Sus scrofa: one gene and its partners. The protein of the gene in region 1 purifies or fractionates together with the protein of each later gene. This does not show direct contact. Links are inferred from orthologs where the notes say so. Each region holds a gene or a part of one and is shown in the gene's direction. Other genes may lie near its edges. The genes, in order: RAB11A, EVI5 and WDR44.

The links.
Region 2: the proteins of RAB11A (region 1) and EVI5 purify together in Homo sapiens (co-immunoprecipitation; 3 studies listed by BioGRID and IntAct, with this or other methods). This does not show direct contact. The link is inferred for Sus scrofa from reciprocal best matches to the Homo sapiens genes RAB11A and EVI5.
Region 3: the proteins of RAB11A (region 1) and WDR44 purify together in Homo sapiens (affinity purification with mass spectrometry; 3 studies listed by BioGRID and IntAct, counting the BioPlex papers as one, with this or other methods). This does not show direct contact. The link is inferred for Sus scrofa from reciprocal best matches to the Homo sapiens genes RAB11A and WDR44.

What each region holds. Positions count from the first base shown.
Region 1 is NC_010443.5:163,856,178-163,862,347, forward strand, and holds the start of RAB11A (ras-related protein Rab-11A), read left to right. Parts: upstream 1-2,076; coding exon 2,077-2,116; intron 2,117-6,170. UniProt on the Homo sapiens protein: The small GTPases Rab are key regulators of intracellular membrane trafficking, from the formation of transport vesicles to their fusion with membranes.
Region 2 is NC_010446.5:124,478,087-124,483,568, forward strand, and holds part of EVI5 (ecotropic viral integration site 5 protein homolog), read left to right. Parts: intron 1-657; coding exon 658-747; intron 748-846; coding exon 847-944; intron 945-5,482. UniProt on the Homo sapiens protein: Functions as a regulator of cell cycle progression by stabilizing the FBXO5 protein and promoting cyclin-A accumulation during interphase. May play a role in cytokinesis.
Region 3 is NC_010461.5:97,018,915-97,024,396, forward strand, and holds part of WDR44 (WD repeat-containing protein 44), read left to right. Parts: intron 1-286; coding exon 287-478; intron 479-674; coding exon 675-776; intron 777-991; coding exon 992-1,107; intron 1,108-2,251; coding exon 2,252-2,379; intron 2,380-2,756; coding exon 2,757-2,891; intron 2,892-5,482. UniProt on the Homo sapiens protein: Downstream effector for Rab11 which regulates Rab11 intracellular membrane trafficking functions such as endocytic recycling, intracellular ciliogenesis and protein export.

The sequences.
Region 1 (6,170 bases):
TTTCCTCCATTTCCCCACATAAGTTTCCTTACTTTCTTCAGGGGTCAATGCTAGTTCCTCTTCTTCCAGGGAGTTCTTCCTAATTATCTCAGCCCCTCTGAACTGTGGCATGTTGCCAGAACTCTCCTTCAGGCCTGTCTGGTAACTGATACTCCCCCTTTTCTTGCATCCATCCTGACTATCTACCTGAGTTGTGCTAGGAGTGTCATAAGTGATCTGTAGTACACATAATGTTTAGCTGTTTGAGTAATTTTGTTCTCCTCTAACATGGATAATGCTCAAGGCAGTATCTAGGCCTTAGGTAAACCTTCTGTTGCTTTATACTGTCACAGAAAGCATCGAAAATGGCACTGTATTAGTTTTCTATTGCTGCTGAAACAAATTACCACAAACTTAGCGACTTAAAGCAACACACATTTATTATTTTGTAATTCTGTAGGTCAAAAGTCTGACATGAGTCTCACTGGGCTAAAATCAAGATGTCAGCAGGGCTGTGTTCTTTTCTGGGGGGCCTTAGGGAAGAATCAATTTCCTTGCCTTTTCCATCTTCTATAATAAGCTTCTATGTTCCTAGGCTCCTGGCCCCCTTTCTCCATGTTCAAAGCCACATGGGCTGGTTGAGGCCTTCTCACATGACATCACTGACCTCCTCTGTCTACCCTACTTTTAAGAACACTCGAGAGGACATTTGGCGCACCTGAAGAATCCATGCTAATCTCCCTATTTTATTTCTTTTAATATGTATTTATTAATGATTTTTATAATCTCCCTATTTTATAGTCAGTTGATTTGCAACCTTAAGTCCATCTGCGAACGCAATTCCCCTTTGCCATGTAACCTAACATATTCACAGTTCCTTGGGACTGAGAAGTGAACATCTTTGGGGCACCATTATTCAGCTTACTACAGGTACCCTTGCCCCAAAGTCTAAATTGCATATAGGTGGTAGTGGGGTTTGACAATAAAGGGGAAAAACTTTTTAGCCTAACAAACTCTCTTAAAATACAGGGAGGTACTGCTGTGTGGTCTTCGGTAATCTCTTGAGGCTCCCCATCCACATTTCCGCTAAAATGTTAATTGCCATCCTTTGCTCTGTGTGTTAAATGAAATAATTATGTAACTAGGTTTAGCTTAGGGGATGACAAATAGGGTGCAAGAAGTTCTTGATGAATTTTGAGGAGGAGGGTGGGCGAGGTTCTTTGAATGACATCTGGAGATGGTTTGAGAAATTCCTGGAGAAATGGAATTCTAGCAAAAGGAATTCTGATTCTAGCAAAAGGAATCAGGTGTCACGGAAGCTTTGGAATTCAGGTTTAAGTCCAAAGGCCCATTTTAAAAAAATGAAGCGCAGAGGCTACTTAGAAAGCACCTAGGTGACAGCACAGAACTTAAGAGGGAACTATATGAAGTTTTCCCAGGCAAAGACATGTGTCATTTCCTCTCTACTTAGTTCAAGGACAGATATACCATGGTTGTACCTCGATCACCTAGTGAATAAGTAAATGAATTATAAAAACATAGCTAGGAAAAAGTGTCCTAGGTTCCACCGAGATTTGAACTCGGATCGCTGGATTCAGAGTCCAGAGTGCTAACCATTACACCATGGAACCGACACGCTCAAGAGGCCGCCTTCGGCTCTCTAATCCTTAGATAACCCCGCCCCCATCCACAGTTCCACCAAAGGAATCAGTGTTGCAGTGCTCTCCAGCGCCCGGCTTCTCCGCCTGGCGGCCCGCGGAATAAAGGAGACCAGGAAGTGTGGTGAGCAGCAGCTGGGAGTGCGGTCAGTCGACAGGCCGGGGCTCAGTAGCTCCTCGGAACCTTCTGGAGTGGCTCAGAACTTGAGACCCACGAGGTTCACGCCTACCGCCTTCTTGGATTCAGGGGCGGAGTACTGCCTCCCCGGAAGTACTTCCCCTTAGGGGCTGGGGCCTGCCGGAAGTGGCGTAGCGGCAGGGAGGGGTTCTTCACCCGGTCCGGCAGCTGAAGCTCGGCGCTTGGGTTACCCCTGCAGCGACGCCCCCTGGTCCCACCGGTCTCTCTACTGCTCCCGCCCCTTCGCTCCTCCGCCTGGCCATGGGCACCCGCGACGACGAGTACGACTACCTCTTCAAAGGTGAGGCTGTGGGCTCTCGGACAGGCCCCCGAGTCCCGGTTCGGGGGCCTGGGACACTCCCGGGGGACCCGCCCGGCGGGCTGCCCCGGCTCTGAGATTGGCCTTCCTCAGCCCTTCCTCTCAGTGCGGTTCGTTTTGCCGTCTCGCAGCTCAGTCCCTTTTTTTCCCCCTCACTTAGGCTCCACACTGGCTCTTAGCGACCTCCCCGGAGGCCTTAGGAAGCCTCAGCGTCCCTACCGTGCCCCCTTCTCGCTGCTGACTGCCTTCTCCCACATCGCCTTCCTTATTTCCCGGGTTCCACGGCCTCTTCAAAGGGGAGCCCCTCCCACCTTCCATCTTTTCGGGTTGGGCGCCCCCTCAGCAGACATCCCGAGCCCCTCTGACAGGCCTTTCTCTTTGCTCCCACACCTTTCCTTCGGCGCACACTTCCACTACAGGTCTTTTTCTTATCAACCTCCCTTTCCCCTTGGGCAAGCCTCTCCTCTGCGTCTCCTCACGCCCCTCCCCACGGCCAGACGCCTCTCCTAGTCCGGTTCTCCCATCTCCTTGGCCAGGCCCTGGTTAAAACCCAAACGGGCCAGCGGCCCCACCCCCACCCGCCCCACAGCTCTCGAGGTCCGTAACCTTCGCGCACAGCCCCCGTGGTTGGTAACTCTTTTTCTGCCTCCTCTCCCCACATAGTTTAGTTTAGGAGCTCTCCCGTGTCTCCTGTGCGACCCTGAGGGTGGTGGTGGTGGTGGTGGGGGTTAGGGCAAGAGGGATGGTCCCATCACCCACGCGCGTACTTGTCGCAGTGACCGGCAGACCGATGTGACTTGCACCCATCCTTTTTTTCTCCTACCCTCCCTACCCAGCGGCAACCAGCCCAGGATAACTCTTAACACTGCTCCCGACAAGGGGTTGCGGATGGGTGGCGGCTGTTATCCTTGCCAGACCTGAAGGCCCAGTTCCTGAGCAGGAAAGGTTGTGCGCTGCACAAATACTAGCTTGCTTTATCGCTATGGACTGGTTGCTTCCTGCTGCAACACTGGGAGGATCCAACCTTTTGGTGTTTTTAGAACAGGAAGGGAAGAGTCCTAGTTGGTCACATACCTTTGCCAAAATATGGGAGTTGGGAGGGGGGCGCATGGCGAAGTTGTGTGCTCTTTGGTCAAATTAAATATTTTTTATAAGATAGGGAAACATGTAGTGCCCTTGGACAAAACATTGGAGGGTGGAGTGAAGAAAAATTGCTTATTGGCTAGTCCAGAAAGAATCCAAATAGTTTGTTTTTTTTTTTAATCAACAAAGATAAAAGGTACAGTTTTCAGAGAGAAAAGTACAGTAAATGCTTTTTTTGTTCAGTGAATGCGCTCTCTCTGATGCTCTTTCTCTGCTCCTGAATTAGGAGGGCAGCCATCAGTAGTATGCTGAACAAAGATCATTACCAGGGAGGAAGAAGCCATTGCTATTAAAGCTTTACAGTGGAGGGTGGAGTTAAAAAAGAATGTTAAGCTTGGTGACTGTGTCTGACTTTGCCACTGGGTGCTGAGAATGGTTGACTAAACAAAGCGAGAAACATTGCTTTACCAGTACTTTGCGAATCTTGGCATTATAGCTGATGATATACCTTTATAAGCACTTAGTCTTCTCAAGTTTTATATAGGGTGAGTACCTTCACTATGCACTCCTACCCCCACCTCCCACATAGTGGAAAGTCATTTTTACAGATACAGAAAGGGAACATGGATTCATTTGTATGCTATTGGTTAAAGGCATCTGAGGTCTGGTGAAAATATTTAGTGAGACTCTGAAGACCGGTGTTAGTCATTAAAGGGAGATTTGTTTTTTTTAAATAAGGTACAAGAACAGCGGGCAGCTAGCTAGCTAGCTTTGAAGTAATTAATTTAGAGCAAGATAAACTATCAGAATATTTCTCCTGTTTGGTTTAGAACTTGGATGTTGGTTATAGAAGCCAGTTATTTTTTTCACTAAGTTCACTAATTATCCTTGATTGGCTTAGGGGATTTTTAACTTAGCTTTGGGTTTAGACCATCCTACAAGCAATGATTGAGAGAGCACAGCACTTTGGAATCATCCAGGCCTGGATTCAAATACTGACTCAGGTCTTAAATTTGTTTTGTGACCTTGGGAAAGTTGACTTGTTTGAGCCTCTCTTCCCTCATCTATAAAAAAGAAATAATACCTCTCAGGGCTGGTGTGAGAATTAAATGAGATAGGTTGTAAAATGTTAGCTTCTGTGAGGACTCAAATATGGTAATAATGTGAAAGAAGTTACTGTGGTTCTTGTCAGTTTTTTTTTTTTAAACTTTAAACCTATAAATATGAGAGTATTAGTAAAAAACCTAAAACCAGGTGGGATCTTCTAAAAAATAATATTGTTTCCATGGGTTATGGTTTCATTTGTTACATGTTTTGCTGTTTGATGGGGTGTTTTAAAAATTGCGCTGAGAAAAATTTCCACTTTTTTAAAGCTCTTACAGGATATGAGTCACTTTTTAACTTGTGATGATTATTTAACCCATTTCTTATTTATAAAATTATAATTTAAAGTGAAGCAACAATAATTTCATTTTAAAATGGTTTCCTTCTACATAGATTTGTTGTCTGAGATGCTGCAGCTGCATACTTGGACGAAGGCTTACCTAGCAAACTTAATAGTTGAAGGAATTGGAAGTTAGTTGGTAACTCTAACCAATTGAAAATGAAGGGATATTTGAATTGGTATAGGATGGAGTGGTCCAAATGGGAATGTAATGTGGAGCCAGCAGGATTATTCTAAATTATGTATTTGTTCTCAAATATTAATCTTTAGTTAGCTCAACAGTGAGATTTTTGGTGATGGTGGGAATTTATTTTATTTTTTAAAACTTGACTTTTTGTTTTAAAAACTTTAATTCCACAAATATTTACATACAGTGTGGTTAAGGCCCTGCAGGACACATAAGTGAAACACGAATCAAGTTCCAGTTTACAAATATTGTGGTAGACACCAATCCAGAGTCACATTTTCTGAAAATATGTAGATTAGTAGTCTACACCATTTTCTTTTCAATCTCATTGAAGGTCAGTAGTAATTAACCTCATTTGATTGTCAGTGGAACTGATCATAGGAACTTTGTTATCTTGTGTCTTGATAGTTTTTCTTTCACAACTTTTGGTTGAGCAATTTGGGTTCTGCTGAGTCTGGAAAAACTTCTCTAGATTTCAGCCTTATTGAGTGTGTTTTATTTTAAAGACTCTTGGTGAGGTTGGACTATGAATATAGTTGAAAGAGTAGAAGGATCTCCAAGTTTGTTTATAAAAACTAGTATGAAAATCATCAGTTACTCCTTCAGGTGATAACTTTTAATTCTGAGATTCTGTGATTGATTTGTGGAATTAAATTTTAGTCCAGGACATTAGTTTGTAAGATAGTGTATAAAACTAAATATGGTTGAAGAGTTGAAAGTTTTTATTAAATAATGGTCAATTGATATGTATATTCTGTTTAGCAGTCTAATATTTGATGTATAAAAAACCAAATTTAGTATGAGGTATTAGAGATGGTACTTAAGATTCAGCAGATGAAGTTAACCAAGTGGTAATGAATATTACCAGATTTAGAAATGCTATAAATGTTTTTTATATATAGGTGCTGTTATTTAATGCTTACACACACTCACTCACATATGTATATATGTATGTGTTATATATGTCATATAGATGGCTATAGTTATAAAATGTTTAAAGTGGAAGTACTATTAAGACACTAATTATGGAAAATATAGGAAAGTCATTTGAAAATTCCTTTCTTGAACTATAGGATGTAGTTATATGATTTGTCACATTTTAAAACAGCAGTTAAATATTGTAATCTTAATGAGAAACTGTTTTGATTAGAAATTGAGTTTGAGTCCATGAACTTGAGGATTTTTAAAAATTTTTTTTATTTTTTGTCTTTTTTTTTTCTAGGGCCTCTCCTGTGGCATATGGAGGTTCCCAGGCTAGGTGTCTAATCAGAGCTGTAGCTGCTGGCCTATGCCGGAGCCACAGCAACGTGGGATCTGAGCCG
Region 2 (5,482 bases), on another chromosome or scaffold:
CTGAAGATATTATTAGTTACTATGAATTACGTTTTGGGAAAATCAGTTTGTATAATAAGCCACATTAGGTTAGTCTGGGGCTGGCACACTGTGCTTCATGTACTGATCTGTCCCGGTGCACATGCCAAATCTATCTTTCCACTTGTCTTTGCTTTTTATAGCCACACTTGTTACATATGAAAGTTCTTGGGCTAGGGGAGCTGCAGTTGCCAGCCTATGCCACATCCACAGCAATGCTGGATCTGAGCCACATCTGTGACCTATGCTGCAGCTTGTGGCAGTGCAGGATCCTTAACCCACTGAGCGAGGCCAGGGGATGAACCCACACCCCCATGGATACTAGTTGGGTTCTTAACCCGCTGAGCCACAATGGGAACTCCATGTCCTTCCACTTGAATAGTTTCCTGGAATATAGCCGTGACCACTGCTGATGTGATAGTTGTGTCTGCTTTGGAGCAGCAGGATAGCAGAGCTGAGTTGTGGCAGCGACCACATGGCTCATAAATCTTAAAACGTTTGTGGTTCATCTCTTTACCGAAAGTGTTTCCCAGCCTCTAGTTTAGCTACCTAAATGTTCACCTTACTATTCCTTTGAATGATTGTTTTTTTCTGTGGAAAAGTAAGACAATTTTGACTTTATACCATTTGTTTCCTCAGGGTTTAGAAATAGTGTTTCGGGTAGGATTGGCGCTTCTTCAGATGAACCAGGCAGAACTGATGCAGCTCGACATGGAAGGGATGTTACAGGTAAGTCGGGTCCTGACGTCTTAACAGTCTTTAGATTTTACTATTAAATGATGCTGAATAGCACTAAGCAGTTCTTCTGTGTTTCTCTCACTGTGTCAGCACTTTCAGAAGGTCATTCCGCATCAGTTTGATGGTGGCCCAGACAAGTTAATCCAGGCAGCTTACCAAGTCAAATATAACTCAAAAAAAATGAAAAAGTGAGTATTTTCTGTTCTGATTTTTGGTTGTGGTGGTTTGTTGGTGCATTTAGGAAATTAAGTAGAAGCGGCCAGACATTCTCCTGGTGAGGGCAGTTTTCCTCCGCACTTGGGGGACCTGTGGGGTTTTCTTTGGTGGCACTGGTTTCAGGAGAACGTAGATTTAAAGAGTTGCACAGTGCCCTAGGGGCGCACGGCGCGGTACGTTCCAGAATCCCCTTTCCTGTCCCACACGGGCAGGCCTGGGAACCCGGCGTGTGTGTTGTTTTAGAGACGCTTTGACGCTGTGGTCTCAGGCACAGACTTTCTTTTCCTCGCCGTTGGTCCCAGTGTGTCACGTAAGTTCAAGATGAGCATAACCAGCACTTTAGGTGTGAGGTAGGCATTAAGTTAAAATTGTATTTATTATGTATTGCTTTTAATGAAACTTTGTTGTATATTTTTTCGTGAAAGTTCAAGATATGCAGCCTTGGCTTACAATGGTTAATTTTTGAAATGCGGTAAAGGTGTTAAGAATGACAGCTCTTACTCATCGAGCTTCCGGTGATTAGATCAATCTTAGCCTGAGGTCAAAATTCGCATTCCTGACGCTTACTAAAGTGGCAGAGCTGGCCCCACCATTCTCGGTGTCTTTGCTGCTGCAGCATGAAGTTACATGACATGAGCATGTACACTATACTGCCATGGGTATTCCTACCCCAGAGGTGGGTTAGAACATGAGTAAGAATTACGTCGTTAAAATTAGTTAGCTCTAATTTGCAAAAACAGCCAATTTTTGATCTTGAACTATTATGAATTACCTGTGAAATTGCTAATAACCAATCACATTACACCATCATTTAGAGATGTTATAGACTGTTCTGTTCTGTAATCGATAAAACCTTAGGAGCCATCTCAATTTCTGCCTCTTGACTTTACTTAAAAATACTTAATTGCTAAAAAATGCTGACCATCATCTGGGCCTTCAGAAAGTCGTGATCTTTTTACAGCAGTGCCATCCAAGATAAGAGATCACCAGAGCAAACATGCTTCTCTTTTTTCTCCTCCTTTCTCTTGCAGTCTCTACTTCTTACTGCCTTGACTACTGCTTAGTGGTTAGTAGCTGTTTATGCATAGTCTGGCGAGTAATACTTGATCAGTATTAAAGAATATTAAAAGTGTATGAGTCTCATCCTTTTCTCCTAAGTACTGCTCTCAGGATGTGTGACGACCTCAGACTTGGACCTGGCTCTGGAGAAGGTTCAAGCTTCCTGTAGGTAGGAGGGTGGCAGAACAGAGAATTAAATCGCTTAGTACAATTACAGCCTGGTAGTTGTCCTTGTAGCAGGTTGTTAGTATAACATGTAAGAGATGTCTGTAAGCTGCGTACACAGTCTAGTCTGCTGTGACTCAGGAAAATGTTCAGAGCCTGGTGACTAGATTTTCAGTTCCGTCTGTGTTCTTTCCTGACTCTTATCTGCCTGATGACATTCCTGTGTTAGAGGTGTCTTTACTGAGTTCAAGCTCATAATGCTTGCTGCATGTCGGGCCAGTAAATGCAGAGATAAGATGTTGGGACAAGAAATAGCAGCTTTATTCAGCAGACCAAGTCGGTGGTGGCCTAGTGTCCCAGTGACTGTCTTAGCCAGGTCAGAATTTAGGCCCCTTTTATTTTTATTTATTTATTTATTTATTTTGTCTTTTTTTTTTTGCTATTTCTTGGGCCACTCCCGCGGCATATGGAGGTTCCCAGGCTAGGGGTCGAATCGGAGCTGTAGCCACCGGCCTACGCCAGGGCCACAGCAACGCGGGATCTGAGCTGCGTCTGCAACCTACACCACAGCTCACGGCAACACCGGATCGTTAACCCACTGAGCAAGGGCAGGGACCGAACCCACCACCTCATGGTTCCTAGTCAGATTCGTTAACCACTGCGCCACGACGGGAACTCCTAGGCCCCATTTATACTAGATGTGGCCAGAATGTGGCCGGTCATTGCAAACTTGTTGGTGCTGGAATCCTTTGTTCTTGCAGCTGGCTTATGTCCTCTAGTCACAGTGTTCCTATAAACTTCCAGCAGACCCATGTTATTCTCTGTTCTGCAACTTTTTTCCCTGTGTGAATGGAAAAGTGTTAGACCCTTAAAGGGCAGAGTCTTGAGATTTCAGAGTCTTTTGCTCCAGAAGGAGTGTCCCCTGAGAGAACAAAGCAAGAACAATCCAGTGAAGTAGCTTCTTATTTCATCCAGCTGACAAATGCTTGGCAAGGCTGGCTTATCTTGCTTATAGTTCGAATTGAAAAGTTGAATGGTGATCATGGGGTCAAGCATTAACATATAAAGTTTTAGTGAAAAAATTGGAAGCATGTATAAATTACCTCCTTTACAAGTATATGCACGTCTGTAACAATTTTTTTTTTAGATGCCTTTGTAGTATATAAGGAGTTGGAGTTGCCTGCTGGCTAAGCGGGTTAAGGATCTGGTGTTGTCACTGCCATGGCTTGGGTGACTGCTGTGGCACAGGTTTTATCCCTAGCCCAGGAACTTCCACATGCTGTGAGTGTGGCCAAAAAAAAGAATGAAGTATATAAGGGGCAACATTCTTTTAGCAAGTACCTGAGGAAAAAAAATTGAAGACCATTAACTTGGTTGGATAGGAAAATGGCAGAAGTTGGAGATTGAGGTTGTTTCTGAAGATGGCTCCAGAATACAATCATTATTATTATTATTATTATTATTATTTGTCTTTTTAGGACCACACCCGCAGCATATGGAGGTTCCCAGGCTAGGGGTAGAATCGGAGCTGTAGCTGCTGGCCTACACCAGAGCCACAGCAATGCAGGATCTGAGCCACGGCTGTTATCTACACCACAGCTCATGGCAACGCTGGATCCTTAACCAGTTATTTTGTAGAAAGTGCCATAGTTTGGGTTTTTCTAACATTTCCTCGTTATTAGATTCAGGTTGCTCATTTTTGGCAGGTGTACCAGTAATGCTGTGTCTTCTCAGTTCACCGTACAGTAGGTGTACCGTACTGGCTTGTCTCAAAATTGATGTCAGCTTTGATTACTTGGTTAAGGTGATGTCTCCAGGTTTCACAACTATTAATTTATTATTTTTCTTTTTTTACTAAGTAATTTGTGCCAAGGTGCTTCGCTCCCCAGATTTACATCTGTTATGATGCTCTCACTCGCTCTTTTCTTTCTTATTAATTGGCATTCTTCTATAAGGAAGCCGTTTCCCTTCTTACTAGTTTGTTTGCTTACTTCAGTGTGAATCCAGTGACTCACTTTTGTGGTGAATTATAACCCATTACTCTCAAATTGTCCCTGTAGTGTCCAGTGGGAGTGCTTTCGGGCTGGCTGCTCTGTGCTTTTGGCAAGCCCCCAGGATTCCTCGAAACTTCCCTTACTTTTAGGGCAGCAAAGTATTTCCGACTCATCTTGAACCTTACCGTCTTCTCCTTAGGAGTGAGATGTTTCTCTCAAGAGCTCTTGGTGAAGGCAGAATGAAGTAGCCTTGCAGAAACCTGATGCACCTCAGCCAGGTGATCAGGTCGGCCTCGGCCGTGCTGTCCTGCTGATAGTGTATACCCGTGGTCTTCCTCCCCTAAAAAACCCATAATGCCGCTATAATCAGCGAAGCATGAGACAAATCCCAGTCGAGGGACAGTCTACAAAATACCTAATGACCAGCACTCTTCAGACTATCAGGGAAATAAACACTCGTGAGGTCTGAGAAATTGTCCTGGCCAAGGGACCTAAGAAGACACGACAGCTCAGTGTGACGTGGTGTCCTGGATGGGATCCTCGAACAGAAAATGGACATTAGACAAAAATTTAGGCAATCCGAGTAAACTATGGCCCTCACTTGTTCATAATGTATTAATAATGGTGGCTCACCGGTTGTCTTAAAGTTGCTGCACTGATGGAAGAGGTAAGCATGGCGGAAACTGGGGGTGGGGTGTGTAGACACTCAGTACTCTTCTAATTATTTTGCAAACCCAAAACTGTTCTAAATAATACAGTTTAAAAAAAACTATCAGTGCAGATTCTGAAAAAGTAATAATGATTTAGATCATTGTTGAGGAGGTTGAATAGAACATGCTTGTTGGCTGAACTGAGAGGCAAGGATTAAATGGTAACTCTTAAGAGTTTTGTTTGAGGTTTGTGACTGAGCAATGATTTGTTTGAGGTTTGCGACTGAGTGATGATGACATTTTTCACGTAATACAAAGTATCTGCTTCACTGTAGTCATTTGCAAAATCTGTAAAGTTATTTCAACAGTGCGGCCATTGTTCAAAATGTTTTGCAACTTTTTAGGGTCTTTTATAAATTCTTTTGGATATCCTGTATTCCTTTAGACAGGCCAAAGTAAAAGAAATAGCAGTGTAGCCGTTAAAGGTGTGACCGACCTTAGGCACGTTTTCCAACCTTTCTAAGCCTCAAAATTTGCATATTAAACTCGCTGTGGGAGTTCTTACTGTGGCATAGTGAGTTAACAATCCCACTGCAGCAGCTTGGGTTGCATTGCCAAAGCTGTGTGGCTCCGATTCCCTCC
Region 3 (5,482 bases), on another chromosome or scaffold:
TTATTTGATCACACAACCTACACTCCAACACATTATCTGTTAACGTCTATAACTTGGGAAAAGCAGTTTAAGGATATGATAAAGTGATTAGACTATCATTTCTCCAAAATGAATAGTGAAGTTTCTAGTTGTTATTTTTAGTGAATGAAATATTGCTTATTTTATAAATACTTTTTAAATGAAATCTACATATTTTAACATTATTTCTAATAGACAGTGTATTGATTTGCTCATGAGTTTTTCTTCATGTGGTAAAATGAAAGCTTTCTCTTTTGTCACATTTTAGGATGACAGGTATTTTCTAAGTGGGTCATTGGATGGAAAACTCCGCCTTTGGAACATACCTGACAAAAAAGTGGCTTTGTGGAATGAAGTAGATGGTCAAACAAAATTGATCACAGCTGCAAATTTCTGTCAGAATGGCAAATATGCAGTGATTGGAACATATGATGGCAGGTGTATTTTCTATGATACAGAGGTAAAGGAATATCTTGTATAAGTTACGTACTTAGTAAAACACTTCTGCAGTGTGGAATAAGTTGGTGTATCCTCTCTGGGCTTTAACTGCCTTATCTGTAAACTGGAGTAAATAATACCACGTCTGTCTGTGAGTTGGCTCAGATGATCTTTGAGGTTCTTTCTAATTCTGATCTCTTTAAATTGTGACTTTTTAGCATTTGAAATACCACACACAAATACATGTCCGATCTACCAGAGGGCGTAACAAGGTCGGAAGAAAAATTACTGGCATTGAGCCTTTACCTGGAGAAAATAAGGTACTAAGTATTCAAAACCATCTCTCTTCACACTATATATAGACTCCTGAAAGTAAGTTCTTTATATCTTGGCTAAGAATATATTTCCTTTTCTATGGAATACTGCTTTTCTAGTTTTGAGATATATTCTCTGTGTGTGTAATACCCTTTTTTGGTTATACCTTAACACAGATTAAAAGATGGTATTTTTAGCTTTTCCTTTCATTTGTTTTTAGATACTGGTAACCTCAAATGACTCCAGAATCAGACTATATGATCTTAGAGATTTGTCACTGTCCATGAAGTATAAGGGGTATGTCAACAGCAGCAGCCAGATCAAAGCAAGTTTCAGGTAAGTTGGCAATGAGAAATTCTGGAAGGAGATCAGAACATTTCTCCCCTACTCCCATTTTTCTGTTGATCTATGCCTTATGTTTATATGGTATTGTTAATTCCTTTGCATGTTTACAGCTGGTATCTCATATTATCAGTCATGCGGTACTTAGCGTAGCCACTTGTTTGATAGAGTTCGAATTGCCCCTACTCTCCAAGTGAAGAAACTGAGATGGAGAAAATTAAGTAATTTGCCTAAAGTCACACTACACTGGTAGTTGCAGAGCCAGGTTTAGAAGACTCCCAGCTCCAGCATTTGTGCTTTTGTACTTTTATGTAAGCTTTCTAAAAGGAATTTACTCCCTTCCCCCACCGCATCCATGGTCTTGATCCCTTTAGATACAGAAGCTAATAAAGCATTTTGACACCCTAAAGTACAGTATTCTCTGTTTATACCTTAACATATTTGTTATATGAATTCTTAATTTAGGATTTTCAGGCTCTCCTGAATGAAATACCTACCTCTTCTCCCTTTATAGCCCTCTTTCAGCCCTTTTCTTACCAGTTCTCTTTTTTGTTGTTGTTGTTGTTGTTGTTGTTGTCTTTTTGCCATTTCTTGGGCCACTCCGGCGGCATATGGAGGTTCCCAGGCTAGGGGTCCAATTGGAGCTGTAGCCACCGGCCTACACCAGAGCCACAGCAACGCGGGATCCGAGCCGCATCTGCGACCTACACCACAGCTCATGGCAACGCCAGATCCCCAACCCACTGAGCAAGGGCAGGGATCGAACCCGCAACCCCATGGTTCCCAATCGGATTCGCTAACCACTGCGCCACGAGGGGAACTCCATCTTTTCTTCTTAAATTACCCAATAATTTAATTGGTAACATATTCCAGTTCTCTCTTTTATCTGTTAAGTAGGCATTCCTGCCAGTGTGTGTTAACCCAGCAGCATTTACCTAGAGGTTTGATGGAAATACTAATGCCTCTGGCCCCCTATGTCAAACCTATACATTCAAAACCTCTGGAGTGAGACTAAGAGTCTATATTTCAACAAGTTCTGTTTGATGTTTTCATAGGCGTTTTAAGCCAGGAAGCTCTGATAGAGGGAAACCTAAAAAAACTTACAATTTGACTTTTTTTCTTTCTTCCCTAAATTTAGCCATGATTTTAGTTACCTCGTTAGTGGCTCAGAAGATAAGTATGTTTATATCTGGAGTACTTACCATGACCTAAGCAAGTTTACTTCAGTCAGGAGGGATCGTAATGACTTTTGGGAAGGTATTAAAGGTAAGTAAGTGGCTACTTTTGTGTGCCTTATAAGTGAGTAAAGTTAAAATAGAGATGTACTGTAAGTAAATTTGTTTAGGGATTATTTCAGAGAAACAGTTTGACAATTTAACTACTTTTGCTTTGTATTAGTTTTGTTTGGTTTTTCCGTACTGAGGAGGAACTTGTCTAAAATTTGAGAAGTCATCATGGAATCTCGGAACTTATATGTAGTTTGGGGTTTTTTGGGAAGTATTTTTGGGTTTTTGATAGTTCTTAGTTGCTTATATGTTTTTAAAGATATTTGCATATAATGTACACTATTATTTTTTATGTATTTTTGTCTTGATGTTTAGAATCAAATTTATTAGTTATCCTGAAGTAAATTTTTTTCCCAGCCCATAATGCAGTTGTCACATCAGCCATCTTTGCTCCAAACCCAAGTTTAATGTTGTCTTTGGATATGCAATCTGAAAAATCAGAAGGGAATGATAAAGGTGAAGATGCTGAGGTTTTAGATACCATGCCCTCTGGTAGGTACTCACATTTTATTTCTCCTACATTTTTTCTATTAGCATTTAGTAGCTTCATTGACCTATGGGTATTCATGAATATGAAGAAGTTTTCATGAGTATGAAGAATATTTCTTGTTTGTAACATAATGGTTGTCAGATGTGCATTTATGAACATTTCAGTAACATAGTTCTTACAAGTTCTACTTCTTTTAAATTCACCTGGGAATTGAAGAATGAAAATTTTTAAAGTTTGTCATTTTTTTTAATGGATAACTGTTCTCTCTGAGAATTGCAAACAAGACTTAAACATATACAAAATTTATTGTCTGTCTCTTCTACTACACTATAATCTGTATGTGTTTTATTTGTTGTCATACTACCAGTGCCTAGCACAGTGCTTGTCTGCATATAGTCGATGCTATATAAACATTTGCTAAATAAGTGAATTAAACCAAAATGAAAGCAGTGTTCTGTTCTACTTGCCACAAATTTACAGCTTCTCATAGATAGCTATTTACAAGCCTGTAATTTCTTGCCCTTTGCAGCATATGCTTTTTTTGTGTGTGTGTCTTTTCTAGGGCTACACGCATGGCACATGGAGGTTCCCAGGCTAGGGGTCTAATTGGAGCTGTAGCTGCCGGCCTAGGCCAGAGCCACAGCAACACGGGAATCCGAGCCACGTCTGCGACCTACACCACAGCTCACGGTAATGCTGGATCCTTAACCCACTGAGTGAGGCCAGGGATTGCACCCGCAACCTCATGGTTCCTAGTCAGATTCGTTAACCACTGAGTCACGACAGGAACTCCCTACAGCATATTCTTTGAGAATGAATAGTACTTCCAGTTATGTAAAATGCTCAGATTAGGAAGTGAAAAGAAACCCTCAAGTGATATTGAGTGCCAATTATATAAAAAAAAACTGTCCCTGTTAATTCTTAAGAGTAAGGTAAAACCATGTAACTTTGGACCAGTTACCAATGAAAACAAGTTTGTATTAATAAAATCAACTGCCAAATAGTTTATTAAATATGTTTTCTCACTTTAGAGACTAAACCAAGCCTTGCAAAGAGTTAATAAAGCCACAACAACGATACAGTGCACAAAGGATGTTTCTCAAAGTATTTTCCTCAGAAAACTAAATGTAGAACTGCCATATGATCCAGCAAGCCTACTCCTGGCCATATATCCAGACAAAACTATAATTCAAAAAGATACATGCACATGCACTGATACACACACACACACACACACACACACACACACACACACACTAGAACATTACTCAGCCATAAAAAATGAAATAATGCATTTACAGAAACATAGGTGGACCTAGTGATTATCATACTAAGTGAAGTAAGTTCAGAGAAAGACAAATATCATACGAGATCACATATGTAGAATCTAAAAAATAGTACAAGTGAACTTACAAGACAAACAAATTTACAGACGTAGAAAATTAACTTATGGTTGCCAAAGGGGAAGTGGGAAGGGGAAATTGCGAGTATGGGATTAACAGATGCGCAGTATGATATGAAATAGGTAAGCAACAGAATTTACTATAGCACAGGGAACTATATTCAATATCTTATAATAAACTATAATGGAAAAAAATTAAAAATATAGATATATACATATATATGTGTATAACCAAATTACTTTGCTGTATACCTGAAACTGTTTGAACTGCTATACACAATATTGTAAATCAACTACACTTCAATTTAAAAAAAAGATACAGGAGTTCCTGTCATGGCTCAGCAGTTAACAAATCTGACTATCATCCATGAGGACACAGGTTCGATCCCTGGCCTTGCTCAGTGGGTTAAGGATCTGGCATTGCTGTGAGTTGTGGTGTAGGCTGGCAACTCTAGCTCCAATTTGACCCCTAGCCTGGGAACCTCCATATGCTGCAGGTGCAGCCCTTAAAAACCAAAAATAAAAAAATTTTAATTTAAAGAAGATACAGCTGAAAACACAAAGAAGTGATAAGAATTAAAGATAACATATGTAAAGTACGTAGCAAAATGCCTGACATTAATAGACACCTTTCTTATTATTGTATCTTAGAAAGCATTTTTATATATATGTGACAAATTATTTTCTTTCTGATATCCCTCAGTTTTTTGCTGCTGCTGCTGTTCCTTAGCACTGCTTTGAGATATACAGAAAGGGTACTTAGGAATGTTCAGAGGCTTAGGATATGTTTTTTAGCAAATCTAAGAGAAACCATTTTGTCTAACTCATCCTGTATACAACTCTCCAGTTAAAGTTTGGACTATTTTCTTCCTTACTTATCAGTCCTTAAATCTACAGTTTTTGCCTATGCATAATAGTTAACACTGAATTTTGTTCATTAAATGCTGTTACCAGCAAATGTAAGAGGTAAGCATTTTTGCCCTTCGTAGCTACAGGGCTCTTCAGTATGTGGACTGGAAAGGTGAAAGGTGCTGTCAGCATTCACAGAGCAATCGTGTGTACTTCATTTCCTGGCAGTTTCAGTATGTCCGCTGTGCAGTAACCTTATTGCTAACCTCATTAGTGAACCCTGTTAAGAGAAGACTTGCCCAGCTGAATCCATCCTGTCAACACTCCAATCCTGGGGCTGAA